Linked DNA regions of Drosophila melanogaster. The protein of the gene in region 1 purifies or fractionates together with the protein of each later gene. This does not show direct contact. Each region holds a gene or a part of one and is shown in the gene's direction. Other genes may lie near its edges.

What was found.
Region 2: the proteins of jet (region 1) and tim purify together in Drosophila melanogaster (affinity purification with western blotting, with the first as the bait; 2 studies listed by BioGRID). This does not show direct contact.

Annotation. Positions count from the first base shown.
Region 1 is NT_033779.5:4,946,824-4,952,813, reverse strand, and holds jet (jetlag), read left to right. Parts: upstream 1-3,029; 5' UTR 3,030-3,140; coding exon 3,141-3,916; intron 3,917-4,042; coding exon 4,043-4,226; 3' UTR 4,227-4,254; coding exon of another isoform or gene 4,255-4,420; 3' UTR 4,421-4,608; downstream 4,609-5,990. Other genes in the region: Jon25Bii (jonah 25Bii), read left to right, coding at 1-530; Jon25Biii (jonah 25Biii), read left to right, coding at 2,066-2,842; betaggt-I (beta subunit of type I geranylgeranyl transferase), read right to left, coding at 4,981-5,907.
Region 2 is NT_033779.5:3,502,890-3,509,976, reverse strand, and holds the start of tim (timeless), read left to right. Parts: upstream 1-2,758; 5' UTR 2,759-2,781; exon of another isoform or gene 2,782-2,788; intron 2,789-3,220; 5' UTR 3,221-3,419; intron 3,420-5,398; 5' UTR 5,399-5,450; coding exon 5,451-5,616; intron 5,617-5,677; coding exon 5,678-6,726; intron 6,727-6,783; coding exon 6,784-7,087. Other genes in the region: CG31954 (uncharacterized protein), read left to right, coding at 1-182, 250-805. UniProt on the Drosophila melanogaster protein: Required for the production of circadian rhythms. The biological cycle depends on the rhythmic formation and nuclear localization of the TIM-PER complex. Light induces the degradation of TIM, which promotes elimination of PER.

The DNA of each region.
Region 1 (5,990 bases):
TGTGGCGCCTCCAGGCTCAGTACACCCACACCGTGGGCAGCGGCCACTTCCGCCAGCACTCGGACTACAACACCAACAACCTGAACAACGACATCTCGCTGATCAACACCCCGCACGTGGACTTCTGGCACCTGATCAACAAGGTGGAGCTGCCCGATGGCAACGAGCGCCACGACAGCTTTGCCGGCTGGTGGGCTCTAGCCTCCGGATGGGGCAGGCCTTGCGATAGCTGTGGCGTCTCCGACTACCTGAACTGCGTGGACTCCCAGATCATCACCCGCGACGAGTGCTCCAGCGTCTATGGAACCGATGTGATCACCGACAACGTCATCTGCACCTCCACCCCCGGCGGCAAGTCCACCTGCGCCGGCGACTCTGGCGGCCCACTGGTCCTCCACGACCGCTCCAAGCTGGTCGGTGTCACCTCCTTTGTGGCCGCCAGCGGCTGCACCTCGGGCCTGCCCGATGGCTTCACCCGCGTCACCAGCTACCTGGACTGGATCCGCGACCACACTGGCATCTCCTACTAATTTCGTTCTCGAAATAAACCCTTCTGCATTTAATAGATAATTGTTTTTTAATTCGATAGTTTAAATTTAAGGAATGGGGAAACTAAAATGGATTATCTTAAGGATCAAGATACTTGATTTTGTATGGTTTAGATTGATTTTCGATATCTTCATAGAATGTTTTCATAGAATACGAATGATATGGTTTCCAATTTATTATTATTTATGATTAAATGTTAAGCCTCATATTTAAATTAAATCAGAAAGATAAGTAGTGTTATAAGTTATAAAGAATTGCGTATTTCATTTGTTGTTAGTGCCAGTCTAGTTTATTTCTCTTACTATCTCAGTTTTCTATCAATTGATTTGGAGGGATTTGTTTATTTTTCAGACCTACCTTCGATAAGATTAAAGGGTTTACGCATGTGGCTAAAATCTCCATTTTGTTTAACTTGTTTATAATAAATAAAATTTTCCTTCATTTAAATAATGATAATTTATATTTCAGTTTTTCTTAGAATATTAAATACAGATGTATATTTTGTTTCTGTTTTATTTTGGATATATTTTTGTAAGTATTAAAACGATTGGATAGTTTAGAAACTTTAAGCAAAAGCTATATATAATAGCAAGCAAATAATAATTTACAGATTTGTACTAGATTTAATCTTATCTTCAATGACAGCTAACTTTTTTAGTAATTTTGACAATTTTGCTGTAAAGAAGTTCAATCAGCATTTTTATGAAAATAACACACAAGTTTTTAACATTTTTCCAACACCTATTTTATTATCACTTTCAAACATTTGTTTACACTTGAACAATAATTGTAAACTATTTTATTTTTAAGCACTTGTAATTCTTGTTATCAAAAACCTGTGAGTATATAGGGTTATCATACACTTGTGCATCAAGTTTTGGTTTGTTGTTGTTCTTATTAATTGTCTATTAAATTAATAATAGTCGAGAATCCTTCAGCCTAACTTGGCAACAGTTAGTAATAGATTTGAAAACAAGCGGAAAACCTCCAGCCATTATTACAGATTATCCTTATCAGGACAAAAAGCAGACATACATTTTATGTAAAAGTTAACAAACAACTTTATTGAAAATCATTCCTGTCCAAAGATCATTGTAAATTTTAAGTTCTGAAAAATGATGATAAGATAGAATGGTCTGCGCAAAGGTTGACAAATATATATTTTATAATTATGAATAAAACTACAAACATATTTGATTAGCCACAAAATATTATTCCATTTAGATAGATAATAATTTGGCTGTTTATTGCTGCATACTTAATATATGGTAAATAATAAAATAATATAATATATATAAATATATATAGTCTAGTGGGGGGGGTCTAGTCCCCCCTAGAGTTTCTTTGATTTCTACTACTGGCTTGGTAGAGTGGTTCCTCCATTCTTATCGATGACATCGTTTATGGGAGTCTTGAGGATTATTTACGAGCCCTTTTCGAGTTGCAGATATGGTTTTAGCTGAAAATGTGTATAAAAGGCTGCCATCCGAGAGTAGAATCCAGTATAAACATCAGCATGAAGGTGTTCCTAGCTATCCTGGCTCTGGCCGTGGCTTCGGCCTCCGCCTTCGACGAGAAGGTCTTCGTAAAGGACCTGCCCAAGGCCACCAAGATTGAGGGTCGTATCACCAACGGATACGCCGCCCCCGAGGGTAAGGCTCCCTACACTGTGGGTCTTGGCTTCAGCGGAGGCTGGTGGTGCGGTGGCTCCATCATCGCCCACGACTGGGTCCTGACTGCCGAGCACTGCATCGGAGATGCCGCTTCCGTGATCGTTTACTTCGGTGCCACCTGGCGCACCAACGCCCAGTTCACCCACACCGTTGGCAACGGCAACTTCATCAAGCATTCCAACGCTGATATCGCCCTGATCCGCATCCCCCACGTCGACTTCTGGCACATGGTGAACAAGGTGGAGCTCCCCAGCTACAACGACCGTTACAACAACTACAACGAATGGTGGGCCGTCGCTTGCGGATGGGGTGGCACCTACGACGGCAGCCCACTGCCCGACTGGCTGCAGTGCGTCGATCTCCAGATCGTCCACAACGAAGAGTGCGGCTGGACCTACGGCAGCGTTGGCGACAACGTCATCTGCACCCGCACCGTCGACGGCAAGTCCATTTGCGGAGGTGACTCTGGCGGTCCCCTTGTCACACACGACGGCTCCAAGCTGGTGGGAGTTAGCAACTTCGTCTCCTCCAACGGCTGCCAGTCGGGTGCTCCTGCTGGATTCCAGCGCGTCACCTACCACTTGGACTGGATCCGTGACCACACTGGCATCTCTTACTAATTTTTCTAAATAAATCGATCATTTTAAAAGCAATACGTTTCGAGAGTATATAAATCGGGGTCACCAACAAAATGTATGTGTTCTACACTTGTTTTACGCAGTGTAAAACAAATTTTACTCGTGTGTAGAAACCACGGCGTAAGATTACACAAATAATTTTTGTAGCAGTTTTGTGTGAATGCCAAAGCAACAGCTGATTGCTATCAAGTAAACAATTAATTACGTTTTTGCCGTGCACCAAAGGATTGAGTTGGGAGTGCTTTGTTGGTGCGTAGATCACGTAACCGGAGGCGGCAGCATGTGCACTCTGCACCCCGAGGAGGAAGCTCACCTGATGGCCATGGCCAGCGGAGGACAACCAACGCGTACGGCCAGTCCAAGGCCATTGGTCACCGCCTCCATTGCAGCACCACGATCGCTGTTTGATGTCTGCTGGGACGATGTGCTCATCCCGCAGGTTGCCGTCTACCTGTCGCTCAAGGATCTCTTCAACCTGCGCTGCTGCTCCCGTACCGCACAACGCTTTGTGGAGGCTGCGCTGGAAAAAAGGCAGGAACTTCATCTCTCTGGGAACAACACAAAGAATATCGACGTGGCCTTTCGAGTGCTGGCCCGATGTTGCCAACGATTGGAGGTGCTTCATCTGGCCTGCTGCCGATGGCTAACAGATGAGCTGCTGCTGCCACTGCTGGCCAACAACAAGAAACGCCTGTGGGCCGTCAACCTGAACGAATGCGTCAACATCACGGCCCTTTCGCTGCAGCCGATCATAGTGGAGTGCAAGGAGCTGCGCGTACTCAAGCTGTCCAAGTGCCAGTGGCTGACCACGGGAGCAGTGGACGCTTTGACGCTGCACCAAAGCAAGCTGGTGGAGTTCGACATCTCCTATTGCGGCGCAATTGGAGAGCGCTGCTTGATTATCTTCTTCAGGAAACTTAACAAGCTCACCGTCCTGTCGCTGGCAAATACGCCCAGTGTCACCGATCAGGTGCTCATCCAAATCGGGAACTATTGCCGCGAACTGGAGCACATCAACGTGATCGGGTGTGCGGCTATCTCCGACTATGGCGTGCAGTAAGTAATACTCGTAGTTATCCCTAAAAGCTGTTGTCATATTGTCAGTAAACCTGTGCGTGCCTTGTGTCTGTGTGTTTCTGGGGAAACCAATCTCCATCTGCATCCGCATCTGCGTATTTTCAGCGCTTTGACAGTGCACTGTTTGCGGCTACGGACCTTGCTCATTCGACGTTGTCCGCGGGTCACAGAACTCTCCCTGGCGCCGCTCCGCCAGCGGCGTCTTTACATCGATAGGCCACAGCCGGATGTGGGGCTCAACGCTTACAACTTGAACGACTTCTATCCCAGCGATTTCCTTGTTTACTAGCCCACACTTCGTTCTCCCTCTTCCGCAGTGCCCTCACCTCCAGTTGCCCGCTGCTGCAGTCACTGATGGTGCAGCGCTGCCCATTGGTCACCGAGCGTGTGCTCGCCCCACTTCGTGGACGGGTCCACATCGATCGGCCCGGCATGGGCTACATGCCAACTGTGCAACATCACCGCCTGTTCCTGCAGGTTTGAGATTAATTCTGATTCCGGGCCAATATTACCAATGTACCAAGGAGGCTTTCGAGGCTATCCAATACTTTTGCTGTAAATACATGCCTCAGCATGGGACGCTTTAATTTACTTTTAAGCTTAATCTTACACATTGTTAACATTAATTTAGGCTGTACAATAAACATACTAACTTATTCATCTCTCTCTCCAAAAGCTCGAGCTTTTTGCATTAAAATACATGTAAACCAGAAAGTAAGCTAGAATCGGCAAGCCGAAACTTATATACCCTTGCAGTAATTATAACATTTATACCGATTAAAAACAACGACCCGTTCATGCAGATTGCTAAACTAAGAGACTATTTGGCATAGAAACTGACAGACGGACATGGCCGTATCGACTCCGCTGGTGATACTGATATATAGTTTATATGGTCGCAAATGCCTCATCCACTGCGCTACAAACTTTTCGATAAAATAAATATACTAACTGCAAGGGCATAAAAAGCGTGGCTAAAATGTGGCCAATATAAATACAATAGTGTGCTTTAACTTTCCCCTCGTGCTTTGTGCGGCTTCCCATCATTGTGCTGAAATTAATGGCGAGTTAGAGGTAGTTGTTGTGGATGTCGCCTCGACCCCCTTTGACAGGTGGAGTTGTTGCTTGAATGCAGAGCTTACACTAATATCCTCGTCGCCTCGGCCATCTGCGGACCGCCACTGCTCATGCAGATGCTGCAGGTGAGCGTAGGCGGCCATGGACATGTTCAGACTGGGATTCACGGGGCTTAGCCCAGGTTCACCCGTGAAAGCTAGTCCGCAGAGACCGAGGTATGTGTGAAACGGATCAGGCGTGGCTTGCGGCCACTTGGCAAAGCCCCCAATGAGCTTATCCTGTGTGCTCAGAATGAATTCTCGGTTCCGGGCATAATCGGTTAGTTCGAAGCCGTCCAGAATACATAGCGATGCACCAATCCAGAAGGAATAACAAGTATCCACTGGCTTATTGGGGCGTCCTTGGAATCCATCCATCTGGCGGAAAATGAGCCAACGCTTCATTCGCTCCACCGTCGTGGCATCCAGGCGATGCAGTTGTCCACTAAGATGCAACGCCGCCAAGGCACAGAATGTGGTGCCGCCATGGGCCTCCCCCTCCAGCTCTTGGCTGAAACCGTAATCGTATCGCAGGCTCCGAGTGATGAACTGAAACATGGTCTCCTTGTTGACATCGCCCCAGTAGTCCAGCATGTAGCATATGGTGGCGGCACAATAAACAAATCGCATATCATCCTCGCTGCCATCGATGCAGGCGCTAAAACTGCCCTCAGGCTTCTGAACAGCAGCCACTCCGTCCACAATGCTTTTCCGATCCAGTCGGGACAAATCATCGCCCAGGGTGACCAGCACTGCGAGACTGGTGTACGTCATGGCCAAGTGGCCCCACTGGTAATTCCGCATGCACTCCAAGATCTCGGCGTCCTCGGTTTTGGGCACCATGGCGCGGCAGCCCTGCAAAGATACCAATTAATTAATCAATCTATTTTAAAGTGGTTTTGCATGTTGCTGGCGTCGCTGATAAAGCGTGGCGCGAT
Region 2 (7,087 bases), 1.4 Mb from region 1:
CTTGAGGATGTTATAAAGAATCCCTGGAAGCTATCACCCCGCCTGGATGGCCGTATTGTGGGCGGTCACCGCATCAACATCACCGATGCACCACATCAGGTTTCGCTGCAGACTTCGTCCCATATTTGCGGCGGTTCTATTATATCCGAGGAGTGGATATTGACTGCCGCCCATTGCACATAGTAAGTAAGCCGCTCAAGGAATCTTCTCTAGAGAGTATGCCAAAAATGATTCCTCCTGATTTCGTAGTGGTAAAACGGCAGATCGCCTGAAAGTGCGACTCGGAACCAGCGAATTTGCTCGCAGTGGCCAACTTCTGCGGGTGCAGAAGATCGTGCAGCACGCCCAGTTCAACTACACCAATGTGGACTACGATTTCTCGCTGCTTCAGCTAGCTCATCCCATCAAGTTTGACGAGACCAAAAAGGCGGTCAAGCTGCCCGAGTCTCAGATGAAATACATGGACGGGGAAGCTTGCTTCGTGAGTGGTTGGGGCAACACCCAGAACCTGCTGGAGTCCCGCGAGTGGCTGCGTCAGGTGGAGGTGCCTCTGGTCAATCAGGAGCTTTGCAGCGAGAAGTACAAACAGTACGGCGGCGTCACCGAGCGAATGATCTGTGCTGGATTTCTGGAAGGCGGAAAGGATGCGTGCCAAGGCGATTCCGGCGGTCCGATGGTCAGTGAATCGGGCGAGCTGGTGGGCGTGGTTAGCTGGGGCTACGGTTGCGCTAAGCCCGACTATCCGGGTGTCTACTCAAGAGTAAGTTTCGCACGGGATTGGATCAAGGAGCACAGTGGTGTCTAGATTCGTATATCCTGCACAGTTAACATAGTTTGAAATCAATTTCTTCCTATGCGATTGCTTTGACTAGATGTATTTCAAATACCCGCAATAAAAAATTATCAAACGATGCCAACCAATCCGATGGAACCATTTCATAATGCGCCGCTTCAATAGAAGGATTCGCACACGTTGCCAGCACGCAGCCAGCATTTCAAACACGCGACCCTCCAGGATATCGCACACTTCGCCGGCGCATGTCGCGTTGTTGGAAATGAGTCTACTTGGCCACGTTAAGAGGATGTGTCGGGCTGCACGAGTCCTTGGCCGTTTGTGAGGGATGGAGTGGGCATCGCATCTAATTGTTTTGCTTTTGATTGGGAGGCTTATCAGCCAACTTTCATCGTGACTGTCCACCGTTCATGTGTTACATGCGGCGTATACGCAATTACTTGCATTACGTATACGTAGGGACAAGTTTTTGTGCATTGGCGTGGCTTACTTTGCCGCTGAACGGACTCCGCCATTGTTGTGTTTGCTTAGTGATAAATTAGCTTACAGAAATTAACATCAGGCGTTGCATAATTCAGATGTATGTACTTGCATAGCCTTGGCATTGGCGAAGTGATCGCACAACTTACGTTGAGTGGAAACTTTGGGCGGATCGGCTGAAGTGGTCTAATCAATGCTATGTTCTTACATTGGCACTTTCGTTTTTCTCCATTCACTTTGCAGCAATGGATATATAACTTAAATATTATTTGCAAAAAATAAAAAAATTAATTCATAGTTGAAATGTATTCAATCAAAATCTGCTCCTTTATATTAAAAATATAGTTAGATTGTCACCTTTTACAAAAGTCTAACCATCTAATTAACAGCATTATTAATTTGTTTCTTTTTTTTGTGACAACTAATCTTCTTATTGAAATAATAGAATTTGATAGTCTGGGTTGAATAACATTTTGACGTCAAATCGCCTATTGTGAGTGAGTGACTTCGTAAAATGAGAGTGTCAGTTATTTATTTCTATCGCCCCAGTCCGAGCAAAAGTATTTTCCTAAACCTCCGTTTCCAGTCGATTTACCACCGCGATTCGGTGCCGACGTGCTGCAGCTCGCGCCACCGTGGAAACACTCAAAGTAAATATATACGCTCCCCACAGTATACGCATTCAATGAGCCCGGTGCGTATACGCCGCGTGTGCCCGCGCCTGCAACCAACTGTTGATTCCGTTCCCAAAAGGATTATTCAACGGATCATCTGAGGCACTCAGAGCCGAACAATGTCACCCTGACGAAGCCTACGGCAGAGTCGTTCGAAGGCGGCGTCAAAAACGTTTAACTTTACACTGAAAAAAATATTGGTTTTAATGTGAAACGTCTGTGAGGAATACAGTACAGCAGCAGACAAAATAATATAATATTTATGTATGTAACAAAATATGTCATTGAATATATTATATACATATAAACGTGAGTGTTGTATAATCAAAAAAAAACGTAGTTTTGAAATCATTTATATTAATTATTTTGCACACTAAATATATACATTTATTAAATAAAGTAAAGTAAAGTATTAAAGTAAAGTGAAGTCTCGTTATTGAAGATACCATTTGGTAAAGTGACACACTTTTTTTTTTTGAGTGCACAGAAACGTTCTGACTATTGCTGTTGTTCCCAGACTGTTCTCCGTATTTTCCGGCGCTGGTTATTCATGTTATCGAACATCGTAGTGGCGGTTGGCAAATAAACGTGCGGCACGTTGTGATTACACGTGAGCCGATTTCCCCGGCCGTCCGGCATTGAGTGCGAGCGGGACGGAGCAGCGCGGCGAGAGCTTTCGGCTAGCGTCTTTCGTTCGCACAAACGCCGGCAGCGGCACGTTGGCCCTGTGTGAGTGGGTGTTTCGGTCAGTGTGTGTATCTGTGAGATGCATTTTGTATCTGACTTCGGTGAGCTAGCCGTAACTCAGATCGCATTCAGCATTGTGCGTTCCAAGTAAGCGGTTCGTTGAGCGGTTCGAAGTTTATCAACAAAATAGAAGTTTCGAAAATAAATATCTCTTAAATAAAGAAAATTTAATAAAGATATTTTGCTAAAATAATCTTGAATACTTTTGTGAATTCATGCAATAATATTTATTAATTCACATATCAATAATCTTAAAGAGAGTGCTTACATGACTCACTGGTCTTTCTCTCAGTGTTTAGCCTAGATTGCAATCGAAAAAAGTGCAAATTAATTGCTATTGAAGTTGCATTTTACATAAGCCAACAACGAGTATAAAGAATTTTTTGTGCAGTGTTAACAAAGCAAAGTTCACAAAGTGTTAAATAAAATTGCAAATCCTTAACAAATTTTTCATGAGTGGTTAAAATCTTAATATTACCAAAAAAACTGAATTTACCCTAACAAATATTCTTAAAACTACTTTCAGATATAAAACAAAAATAATTTCATCAGTGTATATAACAGCACTGAAACTATAACACGATCTATTCTGCAAAGAAACCCAAAAAGTGCTCAGAAAAGCTCAATTGCTTAGAAACATAAACAATCAGCTTTAATTGTTGATTGCAATTCGGCTAAAACTAAAACAGTAAAATTGTCTGCGATAGAAAAAATTTAAATAATTGGTAAGAAATATAAACCACTAGTATATTTAACATTACATAGCTTAGACCTGACCTAACACAGTTCGTTATCAGTTGACCCCTGACAAAATTACACTTTAACAAAGCTTTCTAAAAAGTAGCTTTAAGCGGCGACATATTCAAGCAATTAAAGCTTGCACAGAAAGAAAACCCATTTCCACATGAAAACGAAATCACATAATACTGGGAAAATGAAAACAAGTTAAAGGGGCAATTTACGAAGCACAACAATTCTCCGTTACAATTCTTATGTAAAAAGCACGCAGTGAACTGTCAAAAAAGGAGGCTTGGCCTTCCACGGAATTCCTGTCAGAAACAGGATAGCGAAATAAGTACGGGAATCGTCCTGAAACTGACAGATTTCATCCTGGCACACAGATGTTCAGTGGTTTCTGCTCGTTTAGCTAGGATTTTAACGACCCTCAGATGTATTTGCATTGCAAATTCAAATCTTAAATATTTATTCGTGATCTATCTTTGCTTTCCGTTTCAAATGCAAATTCAACCTCGCTTCAATGAATTTCCCCTTTGCGAAAGAATGAAAATTGTTTTCACTCTCCAAGAAAAGTAGATACTCAGCTCGAAATTTCAATGCGCATATCATTTTGTAGTTCTCGCCTTGCGTTTTATGTAAGTTGGGTCTTTGATTTCATAACCAGTCAGCGGAAATGGTATTGGGGTTGCTAGAAACGTTTCACAGATACAAAGATGCTCAGATGATCTATGATTTCGGATGGTGCAAAAATTATGCTCGACCAACAAAATTCGATATTAGTTTCAGTAGAAATATCTAAGTAAAATTTAAAAGAAAAGTATTTTTATTTTTTTTCTCTTAGATATCACTGTTTTCTTATTAATTATATTTTTTAATATTTTCTATAAAATGTCCATAATTTATTGTCCCTCAATTTACACACAATTAAATCTCCCTTCTTAGATATAATTTCCTATTGAGCATTATTACATTTTAAAACAATTTTATAGTAAATCAGCTAGGCCATAAATGGCTTTGTAATTTTAAAATTTTCTCAACTGTTTGCGCTGTTTATTTTCCGCTCTTGGCCATTTAGCGTGCCATTTAACGTGTTCGCCCAAAAGAGGGCAACGAAAACCAATGCAACTAAACTGCATTCGCTTTAATGGCCAAATATAGCACGAAACATTCAAAGTCAGCAGGCTGGAAGCCGCACAAATGCCAAATCCTGCATCCCGATTCATGTCCTATAAATATCGCTACGGGTGGTCGGCTTTTCCGACTGCAGGCTTTGTTCCTCCGGAGTCCCGTAGTCCGTAGTCCGTTTGCGAACCCAGTGGCTTTGTCCTCCAACTGTGTTGTTTACACAATCAGCCCGGATGTCTGCAAGTGAGTCACATGCGGCCACCGGGTGCCGCAGTCGCCTGTTGAGGATTTGCCTCGTTACGTGATGGCTGAAGGTTGGGCTCCCCCCTGTGTGGGGGGGGGGGGTGGTGGTGTTTGCCAATCCAGCCCACTTTTTCACTTTCCGGACTGGCAAGTGTGGCTTCTGGGAACTTTCGGGGCTCGTCTGGTAGGCAGTTTCCTTGATTCGACTCGCAACGGGTGGTAAATGGGAGACGTGCTGTGCGGACACGTGTGTGAGGTGATGTGGAATGGGAGTTGATTCGGGTTTCATCCCCGAGCGGCTGCAATTGCAGCACATTGCATGGACTGCGCCCTTGATGGTCACATGGGTGGCGATTTTGTTTGCGAGTGCAAATATTTATGGGAATCATTTGTGGTTGCGTAATGCCCTGGAAGACGATGGGTTAGTGACCTTAACATATTTTAAGGTGACTGTTACAGCTTACAAAAATGCCATAAATTTTTCACCATTTCACATCTCAGTTTAAATGTGTAATATTATTTAAATTCACCTCTGGTACCACGTTAAGAATATTTAAGTTTTAATAACAATTAAATATACATTTTTGTTTACTTATAGTTACAGATACCGCGCAAATGGCTAAGAAGTACCTCAATGTTCGCAGTCGACAATGAGCAGAGTTAGGCAGCTCCACAATCACATCTGGAATAATCAGAACTTTGATAAAGTGAAATCGGTTATGGACTGGTTACTAGCAACTCCGCAGTTGTACAGCGCGTTCTCCTCCTTGGGTTGCTTGGAGGGCGATACCTATGTGGTCAACCCGAATGCATTGGGTGAGTAATCAATATAGGACTACTACATTAATTAGGTATTTAACTTATTTTCAATCCCCAGCCATTCTGGAGGAGATCAACTACAAGCTCACCTATGAGGACCAAACACTGCGCACCTTTCGACGGGCCATTGGATTTGGCCAGAATGTGAGGTCAGACCTGATACCGCTGCTGGAGAATGCCAAGGATGATGCGGTCCTGGAGTCGGTCATCCGGATACTCGTCAATCTGACGGTGCCGGTGGAGTGCCTCTTCTCCGTGGACGTGATGTACCGCACGGATGTGGGTCGCCACACCATCTTCGAGCTGAACAAGCTGCTGTACACCAGCAAGGAAGCATTTACCGAGGCCAGGAGCACCAAGAGCGTGGTGGAGTACATGAAACACATACTGGAGTCGGACCCTAAGCTGTCGCCGCACAAATGCGATCAAATCAACAACTGTCTGCTGCTGCTGAGAAATATCCTGCACATTCCAGAGACGCATGCCCATTGCGTGATGCCCATGATGCAGTCGATGCCGCATGGCATCTCCATGCAGAACACGATCTTGTGGAATCTCTTCATCCAGAGCATCGACAAGTTACTCCTGTATCTGATGACCTGTCCGCAGAGAGCCTTCTGGGGAGTGACCATGGTGCAACTGATTGCTTTGATCTACAAGGATCAGCATGTGAGCACTCTGCAAAAACTACTTAGCCTCTGGTTCGAAGCCTCTCTGTCGGAGAGCTCTGAGGATAATGAGAGTAATACCTCGCCCCCCAAACAGGGCAGTGGCGATTCCAGCCCCATGCTGACCTCTGATCCTACCTCTGATTCCTCGGACAATGGCAGCAATGGCCGTGGCATGGGCGGTGGCATGCGGGAAGGAACAGCGGCCACTTTGCAGGAGGTGAGCCGCAAGGGTCAGGAGTATCAGAACGCCATGGCCAGAGTGCCAGCGGATAAGCCCGATGGCTCCGAAGAGGCCAGCGATATGACGGGGAACGACAGCGAGCAGCCTGGATCGCCGGAGCAATCGCAGCCCGCCGGCGAGTCCATGGACGATGGAGATTACGAGGACCAGAGACACAGGCAACTGAACGAGCATGGCGAGGAGGATGAAGATGAGGTGAGTTTCTATGACCAGTGCCATTGAAATATATAACAAAATATCGTACTCTTCCAGGACGAAGTGGAGGAGGAAGAGTACCTACAATTGGGCCCAGCCTCGGAGCCCCTAAACTTAACACAACAACCAGCTGACAAGGTCAACAACACTACCAACCCAACGTCCAGTGCGCCACAAGGCTGCCTGGGCAATGAGCCATTCAAGCCACCACCTCCTCTGCCAGTCAGAGCCTCCACCTCGGCACACGCTCAAATGCAGAAGTTCAACGAATCGTCCTACGCGTCCCACGTATCTGCGGTCAAATTGGGCCAAAAGTCCCCACATGCCGGCCAGCTCCAGCTGACCAAGGGCAAGTGTTGCC